Drosophila melanogaster: one gene and its partners. The protein of the gene in region 4 interacts with the protein of the main gene of each other region in a pairwise test. Each region holds a gene or a part of one and is shown on either strand. Other genes may lie near its edges. The genes, in order: SmydA-8, CG31249, HGTX and CG31807.

Region 1 (5,623 bases), on a different chromosome or scaffold from region 4:
GCTGACAACCTCACCTAACGACCCATTTCATTTTTTAGATAATTTGGTAAAAATAATTTTTTGCGAAATTTTCACTTTTTTATAAGGGGTTACATCACGTTTTTTTTCGAAAAATGGTGAAATTTTAATATTTTTAGCTGGGAATGCCACTGGATAGGAAATTAAGCTACGAATTCAACAAGGTATGGCATTCCACATTTGATCGACTATTACAAAAGTTGTGGTTGTGCTAATGTAATAATATTTATCATGATAGCTTTAAAGGACTCATGGTCGATAATGCCCGAACGCACCCTATAATTTTTCAGTTGGTATTCACGCTTTTTGATATTTGGCATTCGAGTGCGTTCTATTCGCTTCATGCCGCTCAGTCTAGCTTCCGTTCGATTGGGCCAATAAAATGCGCGTAAAAGTGAAAATAGATTTGGAATGTGGGCGAACTATAAGTTGCTGGCGGTCCGTAGCAGGAGCAGGGAGAACGGAGGTCGTACGCTTTAGAACTGATTTACGTATTACCGCAGAGAATGGGCGTGGCAGGACGAACCTACTCCACTTTGGAACATGTGACAGTGCGTGACATTCGCGTCGGAAAGTGAACAGCTGGGAGTGGAGCCACCCCATTTTTGGTCATGGTCCTGGTACTGGTCCTTCTCCCCACCAGGTCACGTGTTGCGACGCTCACCTCGTTTTGCGGCCTGGTGTCTCCGACCCCTTGGCCCCTGGAACACGCAACTCATTGGCCAGCGAAGCCCTAATTTATGTCCCGGCCACACGCACTGCCATATGTAGTTAGACCCGCAGAAAGTGGGTTGCACTGCCAGCCAGGATTGTAGTACTCATTTCTTATTCTACGTTGTATGCATTTAGGCAACACTCTCCAGGGCTTACAGTCCTATCCATGAGCGGCCTATTACGTCGTGCACTCATTTTTGGCCAGTGTAGCAGCGTGGGAGACAAACACGCTTGGTATCAATGGCGCTGCATCTCCACAAATAATTTTGCCAACCGTTCAGATTGTCGTAGGGCGACAGAAATCGGATGAAGATGGTGATAGCGATGGGATGGGGGTGGAGGTGGGGATGAGATGGGGTGGGTGGTGCTCCTATGGCTTCGTTTCAGTTTATGGCGTCCATAACCAACCGCAAGCAGACTTCGGTGAAGGGGGCTGGGGGTTTCAGCCACAGTGAGGTGTTTGGCGAACAAATTGACAGTGGGAAATGTTCTTTGATGGCTGAATGGCTGATGGCTGATGGCTGCATCAGTGCCTTTCACTATGCCCCTCGCGATCGTCAACCCCCGATGGACGCCCACTAGCGAATCCAATTGAACGCAACAATAGCAACCACAGCAGCGGCAGCAACAACCACACGGCAACAACAGCTCAAGCACAAATTGAATAAGAGTCAAAAGCAAAATCCGCTTTGCGTCGTCCCAGCCAAATGTCTCTATTTCCCAGTGGCGCACCAAGTGGCTCCACGTTCCCGACTCCGAAAACGTTTCGAAACCGCTTATCGCGGAATCAAAACTTTTGGCTTCTCACAAAAAGTGTTGAACTTTTGTGTCAAGCTGCCTAAAAATAGCCCGAATTTTGGCCAAAACAATGAACACAATGCTCAAGTTCTTTCCTTCGGGGAAAATGTTATTTTGGATTTCGTAAATGGGAACTTGGCGGCGAGTGTGTGTGCTTTCAGTGTGCGTGTGCCTTGGAAAAAATCATATTTGACTGTTGTCGCTGTTGTCCCCTTGCCCCCCCATTTCCCGTTCCTCACCTCCCGGCCCCTTTCGTCAATCGCCTTCCCCCGTTCCCTGGTGGATGCCTCTAATTTGTGTTTTTTTAGTTGTGTCTAATGCTCTCCGAGGGCGTCGGTGTGTCCACGTCATAAGCGTCGCTGCTTTGCTGGGTTGCTTCCACTGTCGGCAGTCAGTTGTTGCTGTTGTTGCTGATGTGCTGGGTGGTGTTGCTGCTGCTGCTGCCGCTGCTCATGTTGCTGCTGTCGTCGCTGTCGCCACTATATCGTTGCTATTCCCGCGTAGTCCGCCCAGCTGCGCGGAGACATCTTCACTCGCCGAGTTGCCGCGCGTCGCGTTGGTTCGCCGCAGTTCCGACCGACCTCCCACCGCAGTCGCCATGTCTACTGCTGCCCAGTGCCCGCCTCCTCGCCCAGGCGGTGGTGGAGGAGACACCACACTGGCCGCCCTGAGCGCTCACATGGCCCCTTGTCGCGACACCACGCCCGAGCAGCTGGCGCAGCTGATAGACGTCCACTTGGGGGATCTGCGCCAAGAGCAGCCCAACTGGACCATCAGCTCCTCCACGGTGGCAGGTCGTGGGGTGTTTGCCACCCGAGACATAGCCGCCGGCGAGCTGATCTTCCAGGAGCGAGCCCTAGTCACCGGTCCGACGGCGAGAAAGGGCCAACTGAGCAGCTGCATCTGCTGTCATGAGACCCTGCCGCAAACGGGATTCCTTTGCCGGCATCGCTGCACCCTGCCCGTATGCGAAACCTGTTCGGATTCCGAGGAGCACCAGGCGGAGTGCGAGCACTTCCGTCGCTGGCAGCCCAAAGACGTGGATGCGGAGCAGGAGCAGGTGAATCCTATGTCGCTGAGGATCCTCACCGCAGTGAGGGTCTTCCACTTGGGCAAGGAACAGCGGCATCTGGTGGACGCCATGCAAGCGAATGCGGAGCGCGCTTACCGGCGGGAGATCATCCAGGCGGCCCAATGCTTCCGGAACTTCCCCACCACGGATCGGGTGTTCATGGACCAGCTGTTCCGGATCGTGGGCGTGCTCAATACAAATGCCTTCGAGGCTCCTTGCCGCTCTGGCGGCCACGAGACGCTACTGCGGGGTCTGTTCCCGCTCACGGCGATCATGAACCACGAGTGCACCCCGAACGCTAGTCACTACTTCGAAAACGGTCGACTGGCGGTGGTTCGGGCTGCGCGCGATATTCCCAAGGGCGGTGAGATTACCACGACCTACACCAAGATCCTCTGGGGCAACCTCACCCGGAATATCTTCCTCAAGATGACCAAGCACTTTGCCTGCGACTGCGTGAGGTGTCACGACAATACTGTGAGTACGGTACCAATAGGAATCCTGGTCTCCTTGGGTAATCCCTCCTCCCACCATCTGCAAGCTTAGCTTCTGACTATGGTCATTTCTAGGCTGATGGAGTTTCTTCATGGTTAATAGCAATCTTCGCCAAACTTTCCACCAATCCTCTTTTTCTGAACCTACCTGATAGCTATCATTCTCCCTATCCGCCATCTGCATCGCGACCATCGCAATATATTTGTCCCAAAACAAAAAACAATAATTGCAATTTGAAAAGCTCTGAATTTCGGGCACATTTCTTGGCCAACGCCGATGTCACCGGCGTTGTGAAAGTGCGCGTGTGGTAGGGATGTGAGTGGCATGGGCATATATGTATGTACGTACGCGATCCACATATCCGGCCGGCCACATCTATTTATGTGGCCGCTCTCTGCCGCTCTGGGATGAGTTGAATAATGGCCTCTGGCGTTGGCAGTGGCCGCCGCTGGCCAGGCCCCCTGACACAAATGCGTTCCCTAATTAAATTAGTTATATGATTTGCATCAACCAGGGCCCAGGGGCGCGCCCAAGGGGGGGTGTCCATCAAGTGGGCAAAGGGGCAACATTTGGTAACAGGCACACGCACTTTTCCCTGCTAAAATGACTGCCTGATGGGCATAGTAACAAAATTACTTGTTGGGAGTTGGGTGAGCTTGAGACATCTTTGTCACAGCCCTGCAGTCGTTGGACAGTTCCATTCTTGCTATTAAATATACACCTTAAACGCACTCTTGTTCAAGACCTCCGAGGCATACATTATCAGTCCATTGATCCTATTTGCCTATATGCCTTTAATGTGGGCATCCAAAGTTCCCGGGCTACTAACACACACCCCCAAAATTTACATGAGCATGACACACAGAATGTTAATTTTGATTTCGATTCTGATTTCGATTTCGATTTCCATTTCGATTCGGAGTGGAACCAACTGTACGCCGTGAATGGACAGAGGCGGACGTGAACCCGCCGGATCTTTGACTGCAGATTCCACCCCCGATTTCCTGATTCCCCCCAAGTCCTTCGATTCACTGACCATTGTCTTCTTGCAGGAAAACGGCACCTACTTGTCGGCGCTTTTCTGCCGGGAACAGGGCTGCCGTGGCCTGGTGATTCCCGTCCAGACTCGGACACTGCAGCCGGACTGGCGGTGCATCACTTGCGAGAACGTGTTCCCGCACGCAAAGATGGCCAAGTACCAGGACTTCGCGCTGAACACCATCAATAACCGTATCAACTCGTGCAGTGTCCAGGACATGATCCACTTCATCAACGAGCTGTGTCCGCGCTTCTGTCCCTCCTCGAACTACGTGCTGATCGAGGCCAAGCTGAATGTGATCTGGAGGATGACGCGGTTCGACCACGAGGAGTACACTCCGGAGGAGATGGGCCACATGGATCGCTACCGCGAGGAAGTGTTGGCCATCCTCCACAAGCTGGGAGCCGGAGAGTGTACCCTAAAGAAGCTGATCACCGGGGAGATTCAGTGATTCATATTTAGCTTCAAAACTTCATTTTTTTTTTTTTAGGTGTGAATGAGTGAGTGCTTTTGTGAATGCGTACTTTTCGGGGTGGCGTGAATCGCATCCGAGCCCTTTGTTGCTATTTTATTCGTAGTCACTTAAGAATCCAATAAACACCGAATCCTTTCGAACTATATCTGCAATCCGTTCTGTATGTGGACCCCTTTCGAGGAACGCCTCTGTGCCCTGACAATAAATATGAATAGCCAACTAGCCACGAAGATCACCGGTCTGCGATTGACCAACAAGTTGAAAATTGCCACGATGTAGATTCTCTGGGCTCTCATTCGTTTTTTTGGGATCGTCTTGGCAAGCACTGTAGTATGTGAAAGGAATGCTGTGTTGACGAGGAGCAAGTCGACTGGGCAGTATGTATATGGCATGTGATTTATATGGTACATGGATTATCTATTGCATTTCTGGGGCTATTGGCCAAAACTGATTGCAGTAATCTTAACGCGTATGAATTTCTAGAGCCTGTATCTTTCGTATTTGATTTCGTAAAAAATAGATTGTTTCAAGCACAACGCTACTTACCCGCACATTTCATATTCCCATTGTCAGGGGCATGTGTGGTTTTTCAGCCAATCGATTTCAAAATGGACTTTTGTGGTTTTCTGTTGTTGTACAAAAGCTTTCTTTAATGGCGCATACACAGACGGACACACACGCACAGGCATACAGTCATAATAGAATAACAATAATTTGGTATGGGTACATGTACGTGTAGGCATACATTTGCATGCACTTGCAATGGGGGCCTTTAATGGGGTCTGGGGTCAGGGGTCAGGGGTCTGGGGTCTGGGGTCAGAGGTCATGGCTCGGGGGACAGAAGCCGGCGGTTCGGTGACAGTCGCCCGTACACAATTATTCGGATATGCCATAGCTGCGGCATACACGCATACCTCGGTACATGGCTGGCCTAGGTCTAGGACTTAATCTAACCAAGTGTCGTGTGCATCAGTACGTATCTAGATTTATAGTTACAGTAGAAAAAAAAACA
Region 2 (3,526 bases), on a different chromosome or scaffold from region 4:
AGACTTTCTTTTTGGAACAAGGACAACGTTTCCAACGAGGTGGACTGCTTGGCCTGCCGTCTGGTCAGTGGCCTTGGACTCCTGGGAATTGGTGCCTTCCTATTGGCACAGTCGAAAAAAAGACAAGCGAAACCTCTGGAGAATTTCACTATGAAAGGCTTGGCTGCAGGTGAGCCACTTGGGATCTTAAATCCGGTCTTATGTTTACTCCTTTCTCCTTCGTCGCCATAGCCGTTGGAGTTCTGGGCGTGGCCCGCCTGGCAGACGCGAATTTCCTGAAGGCAACCGCCGAGAAGCCAAAAGAACAGGAAAATACTAGCACTGATCATCAGTTCTTTTCTAGACGTTAATTCAATGACGTTTTAATTATAATCGTAGAGTCACTTAATATATAAAGGTTAATGTTTTCTTTTGTACGACCATGTGGCATTACAATAATATAGCTGTAACCTTGTTTTTAGAATTTTTTCTATTTAAAATCGTTGAAAACAAAACCTTGTTTGCTTTAATGAATTTATGATTTATTTTAAATAAATTAATTACATAGGCATACACAATATTGCATCTTTTGAAAGAGGATCATAAATAAACATATGTTTGTATTAATAATAATATTATAAAATATCAACAGGATTCTTATTTTATAGCTTTCAAAAAAGGTGTTTGCTTGTTCATAGCTTGGCTGTTGATCTATCTATTGATTTCTGCTAAATGTTGTTGCTTGGCTTTAAAGGATATTTTATAGATGCAATTTTAAAACTTTTATGTTCTTTATGTCCTTTTATGTTATATTGTGTCGATTGCGTTCCTTTACTGTTAATCGTCTAGAATCCCACTTTCCCCAGCTTGGTATCAGTCTTTGGATTGGCCGTGATGTTCTGCACCGCCACAATGGTCTCATTGATGTGTGTCTGCAGCTCGCGTAGGCTCTGGATCTGGAGAAGACGTAGTATGCGCATGGGCAGGTCCAGGGCAGAGTCGTTGGACGAGACGACGTCGTTTCCCTTGTCAAAAGGGAAGGGTTTACCCACTACCGGCTTGCGATCCTTGGCGGCGGGCGAGAGGCGTTCGTGCACCACGCGAGCGATAGCCTCCAGCTGCAACAGATGGTTCGGGTGGTGCGGCACATTCAGTTTGCTGGCCAGCAGCCGGACTCCATCCACGAACGCTTTTTCCTGAGCTGGTGGGAAGAAAGAATTAATACTTGTTGTACTTTACCTGATTATCATCTATAGATAATAAAAGTGGTTTTTGGAACCTCTTAAAAAATCCATAATATATAAATTTAAAGTTCCTTAAATGGTAAATTTAGTTAAAATCAGACCATACTATTAATATTTCCATCGAAAATAGCCTGGACCCTTTGTTGGGACTGCTTGCCATTGCTTTGGGGTGGCACCTGTTTGGTGTTAATCGAGGCAAACTGATCAGGATCATCGAGGAAGTCCAGGCGCACAGCATAGCTGACAATCCAGGCCAGCTGCTCCTGCCGCGTCTCCAGGGGCGGCATGCTCAAATCGGCACAGTACTTTAAGTAACCCTCCTTCCAGATCTCAGGGTTGTCGACAGTGCGCAGCTTACAGCGATCCTCTATGGAGTAAAGCCGGATCTTCTGGTCCTCCAACCAGAGGACTGTGTTGGCGAATTCCTTGCGGTCTGCGGAACGAAAAGAATGGGATGACTTATAGCCCCATCAGGAAAACTAGACAATTACCGCTCATCACCACCGGGATGTCAACATCGGGACGACCCAGTACCTCGAGTTTCATCTTGAGCGACAGCATGCTTTCAACGGATTACTATACAAAAATCGATTCGCTCTGTTAATTTACAAAAAATGTTACAGCCGGCTGTGCTTATTCTTATCGCCCAAATTTAAGGGATGGAACATTAAACGAGAGGACTTATCGACGTAGAAATTGGGCTGCCAACTTGCTGTGATAAAGCTGTTCGAATTTAATAATCTCGAAAAAGTATCGATATATAATTTTTAAATCAAATATTTTGTAAGAAACTACTTACTGTCAAAAAGTATTTTTTCCGATAATTATTTTTTTGCACATCATATTATTCAATTAATTGAAGAACTATTAATACAATTTTAAAGCTCTTCATTGACCGATTAAAATTGTCAATTAATTAAAAAAGTCAAATTTATCCCGGAACACGCGAATTCTTAATATTAATGTAAGTTCTTTTAAAATTGATTTTTGAAATTGTAAATTTGAACAAATTGACATTGTAAATACAATGCACAAATTCCCAATCGAGTAACATCGACCTCAATGCTGAAAGTACAGCCTAATAACAGACAAAAGATCTTGTTACTAGACATTTTTGAAAACCTAGACATGGTATTTAGGTGCTCAATTGCATATTATCTCGAATATACATTTATATAATAATCTTTCGCTCAACAGTGAATGTCCTACGCTGAACAGAAGCAATATAGTTTATAATAATATAATAAGAAATATTTTGGGAATGCGTTACCATAGGATTCATCAATCTGACCAATTGATTTGCACTGAAAAAATCGAAATGAGTTCTAAAAAGTATTTCCCCGCCAAAAAATATTTTTCCCTTATCAGCGATAAGAAACGACAAGTACAAAGGCTGTATTGTATATCATATATGTATGTATATTAATTAAATAATTAAATTAAGTTTGAGGGACATACATTTACATCCTAGCAAATTATAGACTAATAACTACACGTTATATATCGAGATGCTGAGTTATAATATTTGTTTGCAAACAACTACACGAATACACGTATCAACAGCAGCAGTTTCCTATTATCTCCCAATATCTTGCAGTTCCTCTGGATCCAGAGGATCGCCACCGGAAACCGGAAGGACCTCTAGACTTGCTCATGCCAGAATCTGGAGACATTTCATTTTCGATCTCTTATGTAGCACGTTAATTATGTGTGAGAAAGTTTAGTATACAAATTGGTGCACCCACCCATGTATGGTTTTGCATTAATTGTTTATTGGTTTCCTAACGCCAAGCATTTTGGGTGTGGGTGTGGATGTGTGGTTATTAGTCCTTTTTGCGTGCTTCTCTACAGCTTTAGTTCGATTTGCTTCGCTTTGTGTTTTATAGCATTTTATGGTTTCGTTTTGTTTTGCTTTGTTTTCTTGGTTTTATTTGTTTTGCATTTTAAATTAAGATTAAGATAAAAACCTAATTATTTATCTTGTCATTTACGCCTTAAGTAAGTTCGATATAAAATAAAACGAAGCAGCAGCACTTCCAGCAAATAATACAGTTAACATAAGATTACAGCATTAGGGTTTCATTTTTTCGATTTTTCATGTTTCGTTTATATTAATTATGTATGTATATGTTATGTATTTTTATATATTATATCACCTAATTTGATTTCAATTTAAATTGTTTGCTTGCCTTCATCTGAGGGTTTTTCATTTTTGCTTGTTTGCTTGTTTCTCTCGCTTAATTTCATTTCCATTCGCCTCCGAGTTATGCGATTAAAACTAAGAAGTTGGAATTTTCGCAGCC
Region 3 (4,915 bases), on a different chromosome or scaffold from region 4:
GCCAGCCAATTTTTCTGCCCACTCATGGCGAACTCAAACACACAATACGGAATTTGTTCGAATTAATTAAAGACCATTAAATAATTTGTCAAAGAATGAGTTACGTTTCTGGTGACCGAATCGTTTAAAGAAAAACCCAAATAAACGAATCAAATCACATAAACGCCCTCGTTAAAAATAATTAAAAATGTTATGGCAAATTGTCATCACCCTGTCAACCGCGCCCCCTCCTTTCAAACCACTGTCATGTCACACAATTGGTCTACATTTGAGTGAAAAAGTACAAAAAATGCGACGCAGAGTGGCTGAAAAACCAAATCATTTTAGTGAAACGACAGCGTCACAGATTCAGATCCCCTCCACCATTTATTTTCCATATAGACCACGTTTTTTGTGTGTCATTTTGATTTAATTACAAACAATTTGACAACTAATTGCTGCAAATTTTAACGTTAAAACGCGTATCTCATTACGTTATGTGGTAATTTTGCAATTGGATATTATAACCATTTTGGGTTTCGTAGAAAACGGTGTGCTCAATATCCAAAATTGCCCTGATTAGGTAAAGCGACCAGGGGGCGTAATGACAGGGGGGTTGTGGGCTGGGGAATGGCTTTTATTGAATCATGGAATCATATGGAATCATGCCAAACCGGATTCGTAAACAAAACAACAATTTTCGGTCGTTTTTGTTCGACGAGATTGCCTTTTTATTTTTCTGTTTGGTTTGCGAAACGAGTTTTTGAAGCATTTAAAATATATCTCTTTTTTTCTTTGGCTTTTTGAGTTCGGTGCATACAAAATATCTATTGATTCGTGTCTGATACATATGTACATATATACACATATTTCAGTGTTGCATAATGACTAGGTGCATTGAATTGGGAGAGACAATTGTAAATAAACAGGTAGCGTATTATTATTTCATTTTTATTATGCAATTAAGTTTAATAGTTATGCGTTCAAATTAGAGCAAAGTTCTTCAGCATTAAGCAACACATATAGCAACTTTTTGGAAAGCGCTTAAATTTAAATGGAATATTTTGATTTTTCCAAATTTAGATTTATGTCAATAAAATTGTAAAAACAAGAACCATTGTTTATGTATTTTATTTTATGCATTATTAAAATGTGTGTTTTAACAAACATCTTTAAGAAGTTCGAAATTTATTAAAAGTCCCCAAATCATGGCCTTATACACTTTCTTCCTTAATATAATTGGTATAAAATAACAGGGTATAATATATAATAAACCCAACCCATATTAAATCCATTCCTTTACTCACCTCCTGTTAAAGCACTTAGACCCGCCGATGTCACCGGCGGTGGTTTGGAGAGGATGGTATCGATGCCGTGCGGATTGGGTGCACCCTGGCTGTTGGTGTTCGTAGTCGTGGTGGAGGACGACGATGAGCTGCCACCGGATCCGCGATCACTGATCAAATGCGAATTCGGGCTGTGGCTATAGGACAAGCCATTTGCCGACGCCGACGATCCACCGACTCCTTGACCCTTCATTTCCGTGGTCATCGAGTGAAGAGCGGCCAGCGGGGGACCGAGAAAACTCAGTGGGAGCTTGTGGTCCATGTGGTTATTGTTGTTGTGACATCCGGGGTTTCCGGCATGGTTGGCATTGTGCAAAGCCAGTGGGTTCACTCCATGATGGTGCTGGAACTTTGCCCTCTGGCTGCTGAGATTCTCGGGACTGTAGTCGTTCTGGCCCTGCGGCGGTGGACTGGCGGATTCGCTGGTCTGGCATGGATCCTCCGCTCCGCTGCTCCTCTGGCTCAAGGCATACGACTTGGCACTGTCCACACCGGGACTGGAATTGTGTTCGTATCGCGGAGATGGCGAGGAGTCAGAATGGAGTCTAGAAGAGGCGGGTGGCGGTGTCGTCGATGGCGAGTCCGAATCCTTGAGACCTCCGCCATGTGCCGCCTTTAGCAACATTAGCGGACTGCTGTTGTTGTTGTTACTGCTATTATTGTTATTATTATTATTGTTGTTGGCATAAACGGCCGCTGCCGCCGCTGCACTGTGGTAATCGGCCAACTGTTGTTGATAGTCCGCCGCCGCCATCGCATGGGCATGGACATCCGCGAAGCCATTGCTCATGGCCGCCGCCAAATGATGACGTTGAGCCGCCGACGGGGGACTTCCCTGGGCGGCGGCCGCAAAACTATGATGGCGCATATACGGATTTATCAGATCCATCTCGGGCGCTTCGTGGCCGTAGTCCAGGCACTCCGGGTGCTGCTGCGGTGGTGCTCGGTAAAATGCCGGCGGAAGGGCCAAGTTAAAGGCGGAATTGGCGGACAGCTGGAAGCTCTGGGCCAGCTGCTTGGCCGCCACCTTGGCGTCTGGCGGTGGAGGCGTGGGCGAGGGATTGCTGCTGCCACCCGCCGGCGTAATGCTCAGGAATGGACTACCCAGCTTGGGATCGGTCTACGGATAGGTATTCACGCGGAGAAGATCGAATCTTAACGATTTAGGCTTTTCAGTTTGGTTATAAATAGTATTTAAGCAATAGCAGCTTTTTGTTCAAATATTTTTGATTAATTACTTCTATGTAATTAAGACCAAAAAAATTATTTAAGGGGATATCCTGCTTTATGCTTATAAAACTTATTGAGTTCCTTAATAATTTTTTGGAAATTTTGTTTAACTACGTATTTTGCTTGAATTGTTTTCAATTATAATGTCAGCACTTCAGTTTCCGATGTACGCAGTATTTATATTTATATAGGGTTTTTAATATTTTCCGATCACGATACGATTAAAACACGTAAATCTATATATTCAAGATCAAATGATCAAATGATCTTGAATCCTTTTTAGCACAAGCACGAAACCGATTTTGTCAAACGGTTGAGCACGAAAACGTTTATTGTTCAAATCGTTCTTAGATTTTAAGAAACTACACTTGGCATAATCGATTTGAACGAGATCAGGCTATATGGGTAACTCCGTGGCCGGAAAATATCGTAGTGAATGAAGACCCGCGCGTGTCCGCTTGTTTAGGCCTACGACTAACGAATGATTTCGAAATTGACTCGACTGGCCCTCAGTCGCACAATCTCAGTTTCAATTTCAGTTTCGGTTTTTGGTTGGGGGTACGGCTTTCAACCCTCCGCATTCCGATTCCACTTCCACTCGCAGCATCATCTCTAGAGCGCGCGAGGGAGAGAGTCGTATATGGTTGTCTTGCTCCCCCATATCGATGTGTCTCTTTCTCGCCCACAAGAGTGTTCCACAATCAGTGTAAACATGAAATGCAGACTGGAACGCAGTGGCATTGGCACAAAACGAATGGGAATTTTATTATGTACATCATTAAAATCAACTATTTCGGATTCGGATTGGAGCCTGGGACTGAAACGGGAACTTATCCTGGCACTCTTGGTGTGCTTTGTCTCGCTTGCACCACCATCTGTCCTTTTCTGGCCAACTGTTTCCTTGAGGCTGAGTGCATTTTCATGGCTTTTTCCCTGGGTCGCTGGATTGTGGGTGGCCTTTTTGTCGACTGCGAATTCCGTTTATTTGTTTAAAAAGCTATAAATATTGAGACGAAGCTGGCAGCTTTTTTCGTTGGACTTATTCATTTAAATAATTAAAAATTGCGCTGGCGATAAATGAGAGCTATAAATGTAAACGAGAAACTATAGGTTAAAGTAGAAGTATTTCAACACTTTTTTTAAATGTTTGTTTGTAATTAATTTAATACAAAATTCTGTACTTAAGTAATATAACATAAATATGTGAAATGTTATTAATTCGCGAACTGTAAAGAATATGCCTATATAGTTTTATTTTTTAATTACTCTATATTTTAAGGATTTTTTTTAACCATATACCAAAGACACCTTTTTCTAGATTATCTTATAAATTATTTTCAGAAATGTGAGTCCCAGCACAGCATACCAACATATATATGTATGTATCACGTTTTGTACCGCTCACACTTTCATCACCGAACTGAATTAATACGCTAATTAACATTTTAATATTATTATGTGCCCGTCGGTGGGCCGGAGGATTGTTAACCCACCGACGGCCAACGAATTATATTTATGTTTATCTATATAAAAATACCGCTGTTGCTGGTGTTACACACACACACACATACTCTGACAGGCAGACGGGTGGTCCACATACAAATACAAAAATGCGCTTCATTTAATAATAAACTACACACAATTTTAATTTACTCAGACAAAACGGTGAGATCTCATAGGAATGAAATGGGATGTGGAATAGAGGGCAAGGCCACGCCCACTAAAATGAGAAAGGGAGAGAGAACTTGGACCGCCATTGTGAATGAATGTGAGTGAAAGTATGAAGGAGCGAATTCACTCAACCGTTGAGTGAGTATCTCTATCTTTTGCTGGTCATTTCCACCACAGCTTGTTGATTTTCGACTGTGTTCTTTATTTAATTGACTTTGCCGACCCATAAAAATGAAGACCTTAAATACTCCTGGAAGCCTTACCCATCCATTCGTCTCTCCTTTCGTAGTTCGTCTAAGCAGCCCTCATCTTTTGCTTTGATCTGAAACAATTCCCCATAAATTTATGCGTGGCAGAAAACATGTCATAGAATTTTCTTTCATCGTAGTTAACAGATCTTTAACGAAAAATATTGAAAAATTTACACTTTAAATTTTAAGGTTGCCTGTAAGCATTCAGCTTTAATATAAAAACTATTGAATTTGTTTAAAAACGAAAAAGTTAATTGTAAGATTTATATTATCAATATAAGTCGTTTGTCACTACATTTTTTTTAAGACAACTTTAAATACAAGAAAAACATAATAATACATACCCTTAAGAAAAAAAATAATATTTTATAAATTCATAACTAAATCCATCAAGTCTTTTTTACAGTATATTTACAGTGTTCATAAATTTCGGCCCCA
Region 4 (2,662 bases):
TCAATCAGTTCCTTCAGCCTTTATGAATCTGCCGCTTCAGATTTGGACAGCAGCAAGAAGCAGGGCGAGATCAAGGCGTCAAAGTCGGAGAAATACCTCGAAGTACCTTACAAACAGCTTGCGGAGAGTTACGACCAGGAAGTGGAATCACCAGTCCAATTTGGAAACCAATTCAATGAATGAAGGAGGAACCAACGGGGAATGCAATTATTAGAACCAAAAAATCAATCACTTTTTATATATAAGCTTCTGTAACATGTAAATAAACGGCTTAAACGTCGTTTAGAAAACCGAATTTATATTGGATGCAGTTCTACAAATAGAAAGAAAAATACTTGATATCATAGGGTAAACAAAATATTTATCTATTTTAATAAATTAAATGCGAAAGGAATGTTAGTGCTGTAGAATTCAATATATCCTTAAATGAATTTTTTTATATTAATTTATTGTTGCAAATGCATGTTTCCCAAACCATTTGGTAATTATTCAATTGTATCCCCTCCTAAATATGAAAAAATTGGAATATAGTCGGAAATATAATCGAGGTATTAAAATTTATGTTTATCGATTAAATCGATCGCGCTTATCAACGCACTATATTATAGCTAGAACATCGTATTTATAGAAAATAATTTTATGGCGTGTTTAATAACACACGCCAGACGTCTCTTTCAATAGCTACTTTGCGGCATATTGGGCACATATCGGCATGCTGCAAGTGGGTCCGGATGCACATCTCCCCAAAAAGGTGACCACATCTAAGCGAAACCAAGCGGTGATGATCCTTCGCTTCCCAAGGATCCAGGCATATGCAGCAAGTATTTTCGATGGCAATCTTCTCAAGCTGCTGTGTTAATTCGTCCTTGGACTCGAACAACAACTGCTCTTGCAATAATTTCTGATTGGTTATCTCTTCTTCCATTTGGTAATATAGCTTGAGTTCCTCCTCGCGCATTTTATCCTTCTCTTGAGTTGTAATATTTAGCTTCGCCAGTTGCTTGTCCTTTTGCTCACTTTTTTTCCTTTCCGCTAAGAGCTGCTCAACAACATCCTTCTTCAGCATCCTCATCAACGAGCGAGTCTGGGCTTTGTTATTGGGCATATTGTAAAGAAATTAAAATTACAAGGTGAACGAATTTTTTAGACAAGCACTTTTAGAACGAATGTCTTCTCAGTGAAGGTTTAAGCGTGGACTGCCTAGATTGAACAAAATTATTTTTTCTTGTAATCATTAGAATTAGTTGTGTGTTGCATTTTCCAACACAGCCAACATATTTACAGCTGTCAAAAAAAAAATCCATTTCAAAATAAAACTCGACTGTAATATTTGCGAATCGTTCACATCGAAAACGAGATGGATAAACAAGATATTACAAAGATGACCAAGAAAAAACTCATCGTTGAGGTCATTAAGCAGCGAAAACGGAACAAAGAAAAGGACGAAATCATCAAGGATAGTTTCGAGTCCAAAAAGCGTTTAATTGATCTGCGACTGCAACTGGACAAGGAGAAGAACATAACGAAGGAGTTGCGACTGAGGCTAGCGGCGCAGGACGCGATTGCGAATCAAGCGGAGAACCTGTCTATGAAACGAAAGAAGATCGCCGAAGAGAACAAGTGCTACATTTGCAAATGGAATTATGAGGTTACCGGAGACCATCGCCCAGTTTCAATTAAATGCGGTCACCTTTTTGGAGCGAATTGCATACTACATTACTTGCAGCGTAACAAGACATGCCCCATCTGCAAATCACAGATGATCCGCTGTATGGATGTTCGCATTATTATAGCAGGTCAAAATTTGTGCACGGCTGAATTATTACAGTAAACATTACATTTGCTGGGAAGTTGGACAAAATAAAAACCCAAGCAAAAGAAACAAGAGAAATTAATATTTTCTTGTATGTTTGTGATAATTAAACCACCACAATCATTTTCTCAATTTTTATTCAATTTCCCTTATTCAATCAATAGATGATTTGAACATTTGGCAAGCGTATATCGCAAGTGGAGTGAGACCCCCCGTAATTCCTTAATCAATAAACCACACTCCACTATATGCATACATAAATAATTTGTTATTGTTTTTGTGTGCGGGAACTATTATTATCAATTAAGCAATAATCTGTCGCAGAGTTTGCCAAATAACATTGAGAAAGTGGCTCACGTAATAAAGTAGAGGGAATTTGAAAAGTAGTGTAGTAGTAGTAGTAAAAGAATCAAGTTAAATAATAACGTTAATGTAGGTACATATGTATTGCTTAAAAATATAAATATTTTAGTGCATTTACTAATGTAGAGCAAGGTCCTTATCTGACTAATTGAATCAGGCTACAGTAACTTACTGGCTAAATTAGCAAACTTGTGCTGAGTTTTGGCGGTGCGAGTTGTCTGTCTCCTTTTTGTGGTGGCTGCTTCTCTCCCGTTTATTTTCGCGTGCATCTTCTCTTCCCGCCCGAGAAAAGTGTGAACTCACGAACACACGCAGCCAAAAGTTTTTAGTTCCGTGGCAACCACGTGCGTCTTTTGTTTCCTTTTTTCTTCTCTTGCGATTTTCCTTACTTCGCTCCCTTTTCTTCTATTCGCCGGGGTTGTCAAGCAGAAGTTTTGTTGTTATAAGTGGTGAAATGGATGCTGAAGTTGTTGTGTTTTATGCATA

The links.
Region 1: the proteins of CG31807 (region 4) and SmydA-8 interact in a two-hybrid assay, tested with the Drosophila melanogaster proteins (one large-scale study listed by BioGRID).
Region 2: the proteins of CG31807 (region 4) and CG31249 interact in a two-hybrid assay, tested with the Drosophila melanogaster proteins (one large-scale study listed by BioGRID).
Region 3: the proteins of CG31807 (region 4) and HGTX interact in a two-hybrid assay, tested with the Drosophila melanogaster proteins (one large-scale study listed by BioGRID).

Annotation. Positions count from the first base shown.
Region 1 is NC_004354.4:2,204,990-2,210,612, reverse strand, and holds SmydA-8 (SET and MYND domain containing, arthropod-specific, member 8), read left to right. Parts: upstream 1-1,934; 5' UTR 1,935-2,128; coding exon 2,129-3,079; intron 3,080-4,149; coding exon 4,150-4,587; 3' UTR 4,588-5,098; downstream 5,099-5,623.
Region 2 is NT_033777.3:17,685,182-17,688,707, forward strand, and holds CG31249 (uncharacterized protein), read right to left. Parts: upstream 1,891-3,526; 5' UTR 1,785-1,890; coding exon 1,715-1,784; intron 1,657-1,714; coding exon 1,330-1,656; intron 1,181-1,329; coding exon 825-1,180; 3' UTR 508-824; downstream 1-507. Other genes in the region: CG31360 (uncharacterized protein), read left to right, coding at 1-169, 232-350.
Region 3 is NT_037436.4:14,596,500-14,601,414, forward strand, and holds the start of HGTX (HGTX), read right to left. Parts: upstream 3,042-4,915; 5' UTR 2,437-3,041; coding exon of another isoform or gene 2,215-2,436; coding exon 1,287-2,214; intron 1-1,286.
Region 4 is NT_033779.5:16,681,262-16,683,923, forward strand, and holds CG31807 (uncharacterized protein), read right to left. Parts: upstream 1,142-2,662; 5' UTR 1,106-1,141; coding exon 638-1,105; 3' UTR 558-637; downstream 1-557. Other genes in the region: squ (squash), read left to right, coding at 1-183; CG33552 (uncharacterized protein), read left to right, coding at 1,358-1,831.